Linked DNA regions of Rattus norvegicus. The protein of the gene in region 2 interacts with the protein of the main gene of each other region in a pairwise test. Links are inferred from orthologs where the notes say so. Each region holds a gene or a part of one and is shown on either strand. Other genes may lie near its edges.

What was found.
Region 1: the proteins of Cep72 (region 2) and Pin4 interact in binary tests that used the Homo sapiens proteins (3 or more experiments, as listed by UniProt). The two-hybrid records come from large-scale screens. The link is inferred for Rattus norvegicus from reciprocal best matches to the Homo sapiens genes CEP72 and PIN4.
Region 3: the proteins of Cep72 (region 2) and Mcm10 interact in a two-hybrid assay, tested with the Homo sapiens proteins (2 studies listed by BioGRID and IntAct). The two-hybrid records come from large-scale screens. The link is inferred for Rattus norvegicus from reciprocal best matches to the Homo sapiens genes CEP72 and MCM10.

The regions. Positions count from the first base shown.
Region 1 is NC_086039.1:71,270,887-71,274,969, reverse strand, and holds the start of Pin4 (peptidyl-prolyl cis-trans isomerase NIMA-interacting 4), read right to left. Parts: upstream 2,937-4,083; 5' UTR 2,884-2,936; coding exon 2,841-2,883; coding exon of another isoform or gene 2,808-2,840; intron 886-2,807; coding exon 812-885; intron 1-811.
Region 2 is NC_086019.1:31,081,030-31,084,402, forward strand, and holds the end of Cep72 (centrosomal protein of 72 kDa), read left to right. Parts: intron 1-465; coding exon 466-577; intron 578-2,160; coding exon 2,161-2,326; 3' UTR 2,327-2,834; downstream 2,835-3,373. UniProt on the Homo sapiens protein: Involved in the recruitment of key centrosomal proteins to the centrosome.
Region 3 is NC_086035.1:78,173,792-78,178,239, reverse strand, and holds the start of Mcm10 (protein MCM10 homolog), read right to left. Parts: upstream 2,854-4,448; 5' UTR 2,811-2,853; intron 1,338-2,810; 5' UTR 1,255-1,337; coding exon 1,248-1,254; intron 1-1,247. UniProt on the Homo sapiens protein: Acts as a replication initiation factor that brings together the MCM2-7 helicase and the DNA polymerase alpha/primase complex in order to initiate DNA replication. Additionally, plays a role in preventing DNA damage during replication.

The DNA.
Region 1 (4,083 bases), on a different chromosome or scaffold from region 2:
GAGTACACACAGCCCAAATGAGCCTAACACATCCATTATGAAGACCAACATGCCAGCTCTCATGAAGCCCAACAGAGCCAGATGCCTCCCATCCCAGACTATAATAATAACCACTTCATCTCCACTATCTCTGAGGCATAGGTGTATTGAGTAGAACAGCCCAGATCACATTTTATCCCCATCTTTCTCTCTTCCTTTTATGTTACATGTGTATGGTTGAATTTATAGGCAGAGGCAATGAAATCTAATTTTTTTACCTCCTGTATCTTGATCCAAACATGGAAACTCCTTGTTACATAGCCATACTAGTACAGTTCTGTTTGCCGACAGTGCTCTGGGATAGGGTGATTAAGTGCTTCAGGTAATTATTTGGGGACTATCTCCCACCCATGGTCAAAGTAACAAATTTGTGAACATGTGCATCTGGAGGGCAGGAGATAATTCCCTTCTAACGTGCCATCCCCCTTTTTTTATTTTGAGATAAGGTCTTTCACTGGATTAAAACTCACCAATTAGACTTAGGTCCTTTCTCAAGCACTTTACTGACTGAGCTAAAACCCTAGTCCACAAGTTAACACATTTAAAAGAACAGTGCTAGAAGTTTGAAAATTCTACCCTTTGAAAGCTAAGACTGGATTTTGGTTTCTAGTTTTATATCCTTCCTTTTTCTGTGCACGCGCATCCACTCGCACGCACACACATGCACACAGACACACATACACACATACATGCACACACACACATGCACACACACACATACACACACCTCAATTCTTTACATAGAAAAAAGTTAACACATGAGATAACTCACCTTTACTGCATTGCCACCACCTTTAGGACCCTGAGACTTCTTGTCAGCACTATCGCTCCCAGAGGCTGCACCTCCTTTAGAAAAGAGAGGATACAAACTCATTTCAACTGTACTTTGACATTTATAGATAGGTCTAACTCATAACACAAGGTAATCCATCCATTACAGTCCCAAGTTCCAAAAGGCTACATGGTGAGTCATGCAATCAAGTTAACTTACTCTATGACTCATCTCTAATAACAGGAAATGTACCCTACAAAATACTTTGCAGAAAATAAAGAAATGAGTGTGGGCATGGATGAAGGAGCTCCAGAAGCCTGGTCCAGATTCTTCAGACCCCATTCCAAATCTACCATTATATAAAATCACATAATTTTTATTATGTTCTGTGACTGTGTGTGACACTTGAAACTCTAACATTCAAAATCTCCAAGAATTTTAAGGGGTTTGGTTGTATCTCAGGGGTAGAGTGCTTGCTAATGAATATATATATACATATATATCATATTAAAATATTTATCATTATATTAAAATTGTATATATGTATATATGTATATATATAAATGTGTGTATATGTCTATGTGTGTATATATGTATATATGTGTGTATACACACACACACACACATATATGTGTATATATATATATATATATAATTTCCCCCTGCAGTCTACCACAATGGCTACCGATATCCTCCTAGAGTTTGTGACATTCAGGTTATCAAGCATTGGTAGCACATCTTACTACTCTTAAGTTTTGTGTCAAAGGCAGTATATTAAATGCTAGAAGCCAAGGTGTCTAAGACTAAGTATTTAGCTTAACAATTGTTTCCTCAATAATTCCCAAGTTCCAGTTCTTCAGGTATAAGGTGAATAGGATTCATAGCTACAGCCAAGAGCTCACATCCCAGTGAGGAAGACAGATCACTTTCTGAGAATCCAACAAGTGAAAAGTTGTGGAAGGGACACGTATTTTAGCTAAACAGGCAATATTTGATTGATGAACAGGAGCTGACCAGCTAAAGGACAATGTACTCCTGGTGACCTCAAACTCACATCCTCCTCAGTCTACCATTGCTGAGGCATGGCTTTGTGGTGTCTCACCCATTCTTATACTTTAAAACATCTTGGTTCCTTGGGCCTCTGGGGCATCATTCTACTACACTCCCTTTATTTGTCTCTTCTCTGGGTTCCTACAACCACGACCTTTCTTCAGGCTATTTTTTACCAGAACTACTGAAATGCTCTCTAAAGTACCTCCTGGCCTGTGACCGACCTTAACATCATGTACAGCACACCCTATGATTTAGTCTTCTTCTGCTTTAATACCTTCCTCTTGCTGGCTTATTTGTCTTGAACTTTTACTTCAGTAATGCTAGATTATACAAACTGCTTCTGGGGCTGGACACTCCGGGTCAAGTATGTTTTATCCTATTGCTGCTGCTTATTTCAGCAGTATCTCCAGTTTGATTCTTTACCCTCTTTCCACCTTCTATAATATACCTCCTAGAACTACATTCAGCACAGTACTATCTTCCCCACTTCGTCCAGGAACGACTAAGAGTTGTCTTACTTTTCTAGCCTGAAAACACAGCCATGTGCCCTACACCTGTCTTCAAAAAGTGACTCCCTCCTAAGGGAAAGGGGTATGTCATAATACTAGTTGTTAATAATGCTGGCGTTTCATCAGATTCAATTTTAGTGGTAATAAACCCTTAAAAGAGCAGTTCCAGGTCGCGAGGAACCATCCCTAGTAGCTTCTATCCCGCCACGATGGTCCCTGCACTGAAACCTCATGGGTACCCTGAATCACAGCACTTTTCTGACTTACTAAAAGAACCCCGAACATAAATCGTAGCGGCTCACGGTGCTCTTGGTTACCTTGTTGGCCAACTTATAACACCACCCCCCCCGCGGCCCCCCCCCCCCACAGCTGCCGGCCTACCCCTGCCCTTTTCCTCACCCTGCCGGCCTACCCCTGCCCTTCTCCTCATTCACCCCTAAGCTCTCTGACTGTCTCGGCCGGTCTACCTTTCCCTCCTTTTCCAGAACCACTTTTCCCCTTCGGCGGCATCTCTTAAGCTTGCCGTTGAACTCTCCGGCAGTTGTTCCGGTGCTAGAAAAAGGCCCCTTCAGGCCCCATAGATATGTCCAAAGCAATGCCTGAAAGCAGCTTCACAATCAACTATTTCTGCTGCGGTTCCGGAATCAGGCATAACTTGGGACAGACCCAGTTCATTGGTTCTTTGACCTATAGGAACTAAAGATGTTTGACCAATAAGAAGCCGAAGCCCTAAGGAGAGGCGGGAACAAAGGTTGCCCAGAGACAAAAAAGCCCCGCCTCTGTTCTGTTCCTCAAGGCTTTCACTTGCCCTCATATGCACCCGTTCTATGCTCTCTTTCACCCCCGCCCACTTTTTGTGCATGCGCAGTGCTAGCCTCAGGCCACTGCAGTTCCTTGGCGTGGGTTTTTGCTAATACCTTGGGGATGCTAGACAAAGGGATAGCAGAAGGACCTTAGATAATGGCCTTCTTCTCCTGTCCTTTCACGGACTGACACAGAACTGCACTCCCTAGTGGCTTTTCTTATTTATTTATTTAGCCATTTATTTATATTTTCACAGCAGTAGTTGATGGGGTATAAAAGATGGAATTTTTTTAAGCCTATCATCCCATTGCCTGTGGCAGAAGTCTGTCATGGAGAAACATTGGAAGCAGCCTAAATTAATTTTAAAATAATGATTATAAACTGTGTATACAGAAATAGCCTTAGGGAAGATTATAGACCAAGGTGTAGAATGTGATTTTTAAAGTTATATATCCTGTAGTACATAGTATATACACTTAAAAGATAAGCCATTAATAATGTTCAGCAGCATAGCATGTGACCACTGGTGTCCATCTATATAGTCATTCATGTCTCTTTATTTTCCAAAATTCTTTTCTTTTTTTCTTCCCTTCCTCCCTCCTTACCTCTCTCTTTTCCTTCCTTTTTTCTTTCAATACAGGGTTTCTCTGTGTGTATCCCTGACTGTCCTTGAACTCGCAGAGATTTGCCTACCTCTGTCTCCCAGCTGCTGGGGCTAAAGACATGTGCTACCACCTCCAGCCTCAAACTTTGTATGACAGCACATATCATGCAATTTAAAGGTTGGATTCTGGAAGCACATGGCCTGCTTTAAAACCCGTTCTATTAGTCCTGTGACCTTGAAGAAGCTCTTGGGCTCAGTTTCCATCTTCTGGGAAATGGAGTTGGTAAAGTATCTGCTTATAG
Region 2 (3,373 bases):
TTATCTGGATCCTTTGTTTAGATGTAGGAAGCTAATAAAAGGTACTGCTTTCCTCCCTTGAGTTGGAAACACAGAAATAGATCAGAATCAGATAGATTGGAAGAAGCACTGGCTCTAGCACTGGTAGGGAGGAATCGGTGGGTCATCAGATCTGTGGCCACCATAGAGTTTAGACTGCTTCTCCCTAAATCACAGGCTGCCTTGTGAATGAGTGTAGATTTCTTCCTGAAGAAAGGGGAGACTCTGAAGGCAGATCCAGTGGAGGAATCTGCTGGTACCAGCTTTAGGGTATCAGGTATAGGTAACAGGGGTATTAGCTCCCATAGAGGGAAACAGATGTTGCCTGATACTCTTCACCCCCATCTTTGAGTCTCTAATATTCTTTCTCTGGCTTTAATTTAAACCAGAATGATCAAAATGTGTAGATGAACATCATTACACAATACTACTTCCTGTCTTCCTCAGGACTTCAGACAAGTATGAAGCAGCTCTCTGGGGAAGTTATGGAGCTGAAGCAACACGTGGCGCACTATGACAAGATCCAGGAGCTCACACAGATGCTTCAAGAGAGCCACAGGTCCCTGCCTGAGTGGGTCACGGGGGGAGGCTGAGACACAGGGTGGGAGGCACTAAGAAACACAGTATCTGTCAGGAGTTGGTGTTCAGGGCCCATAGGCATTGCCACATTGACTTTCAACATGAGTGAACATTCCCTTGGTAAAAAATGAGATATGATGATGACTGTAAGGAATGTACTCTGAGGTACACCTGAAAAGTGTTTAACCTGAGACCCAGGAGCAACCCAAGACATGTATGAGCCAGGGAGTATGGACTAGAATCTGAGGGGTGAGTACATGTTAGAGCTGGTGAAGTCTGGTCCAGTGTTCTGCTCCCCTGGGCCATGTGCTTTCCACTATAGCATGTGCTTTCCCATCACTGGAGGTCATGGTTGTTCACTTACAAACATGGACATCATCTTTCTACTTGTTGCTGTATGAGTAGTGAAAGGGGGAGTAGGAATGTTAACATGGGCAAGGCAGACCCTGGCTGTATTGAGGAAGCGTCTTCTGGGAAGGAGGCAAGTGCCTGAGAGAGAGCAGGTCATCGGAGCAGCTGTTGTTCCTGGAGCCTCCTCTGAGGAGGGCTCATTGTCGTCACTACTCTTCCCCGACCCTCCCTTCTTCCTTGTAACTCCTGTTGTTAATGGTCTCCTTACAAGGTGACCACATGTAAGGGTCTTCATGTTGGGTCAGACAGAGCCAAGCTTTCCCTTTTAAGTCTTGGCAGGCCCGAGTTACAGAGTTGGGGGTAAAGGCTTTGGGCACAGAAGACTGCTAAGACAAAGTAGGGAGGAATGGATGGAAGGAAGGAACCTGGGCTGCTAATTCAGAGCAGTGACAGGCAAAGGAATACACTCCTGGATTCCAGCAGGCCCAGTGCAGACAGAGATGCAGAGGTCTGGAGACAGTGCCACCAGGCTTTTGCTCACGCATGTGCATGCTGGTGTTAGCAGCCATTTCTGTGATTTCAACAAACAAGGTCAGCACGCACATACAGATTTATTCAATGGGATGGCCATCTTCAAAGATGGCAGAAGTTAGTGTTGCCTTGCTTCATCTGAACTTGAGATGCTATTCATTATGGCCACCTTGGGGACGAAGCAGTAGTGAGAACTTGTGGGAAACACACTAGTGTTTCTGAATCCAGCTCTGTGCTGTGCTATGGCCATGTCCCAGTTAACTGTGTGTGACTAGGAATCAGAAACACTGCAGTATTGGGTCTTTACAGTGGGAATATGGTTTTACTAGCCATAAAGATTCTCATCGTCTTGCCATAGAACTGTGGTGTGTTAGGAAGGCATCACCATTCACTTCTTCAGCTTATTCCCAAGCTCAACTCACAGTGACCAGCAGTGCCTTTGGGAAGGCTTGCTGAAGCCAAGGGCTCTGGCCGTGTCCATGTATGGTATGGAAGGTCATATAGAGTGACAGTAGCCAGTAGGAAGAAGATAATGGGGCCAGGGACAAGTGGTCACCTTGGCACTGCTACAGTTGGGAGCACCTGGCCAGGGCATGGGCGAGATATTTGTTTCTATGCTGGTGGACTTCAGCCAGTCTGTGGCAGTTGGGACACAGCAGTTACTTTCCTTTCATCCTCCAGCTCTCTGGTCAGCACCAATGAGCATCTCCTGCAGGAGCTGAGCCGTGCACGGGCACAGCACAGAGCTGAGGTCGAGCAGATGCACTGGAGCTTCCAGGAGCTCAAGAAGACTACGGCCCTGGCCCCACACCGTAGCTCCCGCCTTGGTGGCCGGCAGTCCTGCTAGCTGCTAGTGAGCTGTACTCCAGGGTTGTACCTGGGCATGTATCTGTCTGAATACCCTCCTGAGACTGTAATTACCTTAGGAACCTCAAAATGTATTCGTAAGCTCAGCTTGCTTATGTGTCCTAAATTGACGTAACCGCCCTGGGGCTTCTTCACGTTTGGGAAGTTTTCATTACACATCCTGCGTAAGGTACCTGTAGTTTTTTTTTTCTTCCCAATGTGGGAAAATTCGTATAATTAAAATGTTTTCATGTGACAAACATTCCTTACTTAAAGAAATAATATATTGCTATGTTTAAAAGTTAACCCGTAGATGGCTCTTTATAAATTATAACTGACTTCCTTATTGAATTCTTCTATAAAACAAGTTGTACAAAGTGAGAAGGAAGAAATAAGTTCCAAGTTGAAATAAAAAGTAAACTTAGAGATGTGACAAACATTTTAAAAACTTGTATGATGTTAACGTGTCATAGTAAAACAAATAAAAAACCTCCCCACTTGTGCCTCAACCTTTTGCTTTCAATAATTCCTGCAAATAAACAGACTGTGGACCTGAAACCCAGGGGAAGATTTAAAAACACACTGTACAGAGTGGATCCCAGATGACTAACCGCGTAAAAGGTGCTCAGGAGAAGAGGCAGACTCAGTCACCAGTACAGTACTATCCAGAGGGAAGCCCATGCAGAGAGATGGCTCGTACACACCAATGTTGCCGAGTACTGCACTCTGGAGACAGCTCAGAATTGCCTAGTGGACCTTGTCAGAAAGGCTCTCCTGCCCTCCACTCCTGCAGCGACTCCCAAGTCAATTTTGTGTGCAAGGCAGGAGTGAGTTTCAAGCCTCAACTTTGAGGCTTTGAGGGCTCTGCTGTGTTCTGTGGCTCCCAAGTCAGGAGCCGTACAGCCAGCGGTCTGTTTCTGTTTCAGTTTTTGTACATCATGTATGTCTATGAGTTAATTTATATTGCCTAAATTTTCAGATTATTTTGGTACTGATAATCTTTTGTTAGTGTTTTAATACCTTCGGGATTTGAAGTTGTATCGCTGTG
Region 3 (4,448 bases), on a different chromosome or scaffold from region 2:
GACACAAGCACACCCTACTCAACGTGCCGGTCAGCACTCACAGGGCAACTGAAAGGAGCCTCCAGATTTGCCACTCTGCCTGCTTCTCTCGGACCTACTGTCCTGCCAGAGCGCCTCTTAGAAGACACCGAGGAGAGTAAAGAAAGAGTGGGCCAGGACCAGGCCGGACCTTTTCCCCTGCACTGCTTTAACGAGCTAGCTTCTGACACTACCAAGTTTCCTGAGATCTGGCCAGTAAGGAATAAGTAAAAAACGCTTTAACATAGATAAAGACCTTGCCTACCGTTTTACTTTTTGTTATTTTTACTTTATTTATTTATTTTCGTCAGGGTTTTGCTGTAGCTGACTTGGAACTCACTCTCTAGACCAGGCTGGCCTCAAACTCAAGAGATCCTCCTGCCTCTGCCTCCCTAGTTCTGACATTTAAGGCGGGTGTCACACAGCCTGGCCCACTGTTACTTTTAAATGGAGAAAGATACGTAAACATTCGTCACCCAGAATTAGTTATCATTAACTTTTCTGTCATATTTGCCTTTATTTGACCTTTAATCATTAAACAACACTTTATTTCACTGGTAATTTCATGTTATAGATAAAATTAACCCAAATCAGAACATAGTTTCTTTTTCTTTTTTGAGACTCAATCTCATGTATCCCAGTACTATGAGGCTGAACTCAGAGATTTACCTGCCTTTGACTCCTGAGTGTTGAGATTAAAGAGCTAAGCCACCGCACTCCACACAGTGTTATTAATTTCAATGTTTGCCTTCACTTTTCTTGAAGAAGACAAAATCTAAAAAACCCGGGGGAAAGTAATAGTTTCTGGCGACGAGCTCATTTATGTCACCAAAGAGAACAACAACTCCCCCACCCGCCATGCAGTCCGCTGTTCAGGGCCCGTGGAACAAACACTCTGTTGCTCCAACTGAGCTGTACTCGACAGAGCAGTATTTTTCCACTGGGATTTTTCTTTGCACAAATTCCTGAAGAAAAAAAACAAACAAACAAGCAAAACTCCAAAGAAAGGACCACCAGAATTTAAATCGGATCTAGACTAAAACCATTTCAAAAGATTTCCACATGCAACGTAACTCTGGAGTCAGACAGCCCAGTTCAATTTCCCGGTCTGACAGTTAGACATCAGTTACTAAGCAGCCCTGGCTCCCGGCTGCTTTGTGCTAGAGTGAAGGACGGTGTGCTAGTTTTCCACACAGCAAAGAGGAAGCCATAAAACTAGACGGCCTTACCATTCATGTTTTCAAGATAATGGCTGAGCCGTGGAAGGGTAAGGAAGGATCAGGTAGCTGGTCCAGGAGATACGCAACAAAGGTTCTGGGCTGCAGAAAAATCAACATTCGAGAAGTCACTGACTCTTCTCACAGGGCACATCCAACAAACCATGTCCCAGCGATTCCGGGACACCACCCTTAGGATTCGCCCAGGACCCGGCACCCAGCATGTCTCCTGCCCTCTCCCATTACCAACAGCCCAGGAGCATCCCCTCCTCTCACATAAGCTCTTCTACCTGGCTTCAAACTGGGGTTAGAGACCAAACTGCCGTGCAGTACAGGGTGTGGGGCAGACTACAGACTCAGTGTGAACAGGAGCTATTCGGGCTGTGGTAAAATTGAGGGTTATTGTCCTGTTTTACTGTTCTAATGCATTTGAAGACTACTTTATCTGTTGAAGCTTAGTGTGAGATGCATAGCTCTACCATAAGTTAGGATTTGTACTTCCACACTACTTGGCAAAGCATAGAGGACCAGAAAAATTAAGATAGAAAGATAACATTGGAGCTGGGTAGGGTATCAAACGCCTTGAATCGTAGTACCGGGGAGGCAGAAGCAGGTTATCAGAACCCTGGCCATCGTGCCAAACAGTGAACTGTGAGAGAGGCTCCAGGGTGTGTGTGGGGGTAGGGGAGGCAGAAGGCCTTTTACCTCAAGTATAGTTTGCTCCCTGGATTGTTTTTTGGACCTGATTTCCAGCCTCCTTCGACCAACATTAGCATTTAATTTATAAGACACATTTGTTCTTGTTGGATGTCAGACCCAATCTGGCGGAAGGACAGGCTGAACGCTGTCTTTGGTGTACCCCGAGTCTGGATATGACCTTCTGCCTTGCTTTACTGTTTCCTCAGATATAAACTGTGTGTGTCAGGCAACTGTGTTTAAACTGTTCTGTTCTGAGAATGATCTGGAAAAGGGCTGTTCTGTTAGTATTTAATGCGTGCTTACTGCACACTTCTTTACATGTTCTTCTAAACTCACTGCTCTGCTACATCGGCGTACACAAGCACACTGAAACTGAGGTTGTTAAGGCGTATGCCGCCATCCCCCAGGGAGAGAGGAGTCAGTGAGGGCGAGCATTTTAAAAGGGTGCTCTTTATGCAGGCAACTCTAACTGCTTTCAGTGGGTTATTTAAACAAGATAAAAGAAACATGAAAGTAACAGGGTACGTATCACCGGTGAGGAAGGGGTTTAGAGAAAAGGGAAGCTAACAGGGTTGAATTGCCATATTTACATGTGCGTACATGAAACTGTGAGAGACAAACTTTTAAAAAACAGAAGTAAAAGGGCGCTCTTAAAAAAAGAAAATAAACCAAAACAGGCTCCTTATGCACACGAGCTCCCAATCTTCCAGCCCCGGCCGGCGCCTTGCCCGTTCCAGCCTCGGCCGAAGGTCGCCTGCTTCGCTCGATCAAGATTCCGGCGCCTCTTCCCCTCAGAGCTTCGCGCCTCTCCCTCAGACCCCAGTCCCTGCGCGGACGCCCAGAGTCCCCGACACACACAAAGGCCGCAAAGCTCACCTAAGACACGGTTGGTTCTCTTGCCGGTCCACACCGGATCCCGCCAAAAATTACAACTGGGCTCCTCCCACCTCTGACGTCGACGCGTTCGTGTGTGGAGGACGCTCTGATTGGCCCACCGGAACTCTCGGACCGCACAGATCCTTGGCCGGGAGGGAGGAAGCGCCGCTTCTCAGTAGAGCAACCTGATTGGTGTAGGCTATCGGACGCCATCTTTGCTAAGGGCAAAGAACTTCCGGTTGGTGAAGCCTCAGCTTCGCGCAACTAAAATAGAGGTTCTGGCGCCCTCTAGCGCGGAGGAGTTCAAGCGTTGTTACCCACTCCTCATCTCCAGCCCATCTCCTTAAGTGGAGGGTAAGAACTAAAGAATCCTCAACTTTTACCAATCGGCAGGCACTCACCGCGGTCCTCACAGGTTTCCCTGGTGTAAGTAAGTAAACCTATCGAAGTCCAAACCAGTTTTGCTGATCCCATGTCCAGTTTTGATTTTAGGATTTAAATTAAATAGAGATGAAAGTTTCTACTTTTCACTCTGGCTGACCTACAGGAACTAACATTTCTTCAGATTTTGTTTCTCCATCTGTAAACGAGGGAAAGGCTAGATGATAGTTTTGGATTCAGAAAATAATATTCCCGGAATAGTGCAGATTCGGGGAACTAGATTATGTCAGAGTTCAGAATAATTTATGAGAACATTCTTTAGTAAAAGTCAAACTTTATTTACAAGTGTTTATACATAGAACTAAAACCATTTTCCAAATGCAGAGAATATTTAGTCTCCATAATTCCAAAGACAGTTTATTGATGTTTGAGACAGGGTCTCTCCATGTAGATCTGCCCTTGAACTTTCTACATGGATCAGGTGAGCCTTGAACTCACAGATTTTTGCTTCCCACCTGCTGGGATTAGAGTGCCTGCCTGAATTATTTTAAAACAGTATGTAGCAGGATGTTGAGTGTCCTGGGATTCCTCCTCCCGCCCCTCCCTCTCTTCTTTTTCCTTTGTGCTGATGATTGGATCAAGGGGCTCGTGGATGCTGACCAAGCCCTGTGCCATGGAGCCCCTGGCCTAGAATGCTTGAAACCTTCTGCCTCAGCTTCCAGGGTGCTGGCATTACAGGCTTTAGGCACCACACCCAGCTCCAGATGACGCTGTTTAGAGGCTGAATACCACTAGTTGATTTGAGATAAGACAGCATTGGTCTCTCTCTCTGTCTCTGTCTCTGTCTCTGTCTCTGTCTCTCTCTTTCTCCACTGTACTTATTCATTTTAGAGTAAGACTAGCTTCAAGATCCTGATGAATTTTTTTCTTGGACCATGGGTATTAATACTCCATTTATGAACTCCAACTCATCGTTATTAAAGCCTATGTCACTGGCCCAGGATTAGGAGTAATTCTAGTGTGAACATGTCACAGTGATTGAGAGACTTCAATGAGATGGACCAGTTCTCGTTGGTATCCTCTGGCTTCTTTCTTCCCCGTGATTTTACAGGTAACCTTTGCTTCCCATGGGATTTGAGGAATATGAAATGGTATCACTCTAAACGGTCAAGCACATATGGATACGGAGAGCCAAGCAATTTGTATTAATTGGTTTAGTGGCAATTTTGAGGAAAGGGGAGGTAGTGATTTTGGGGA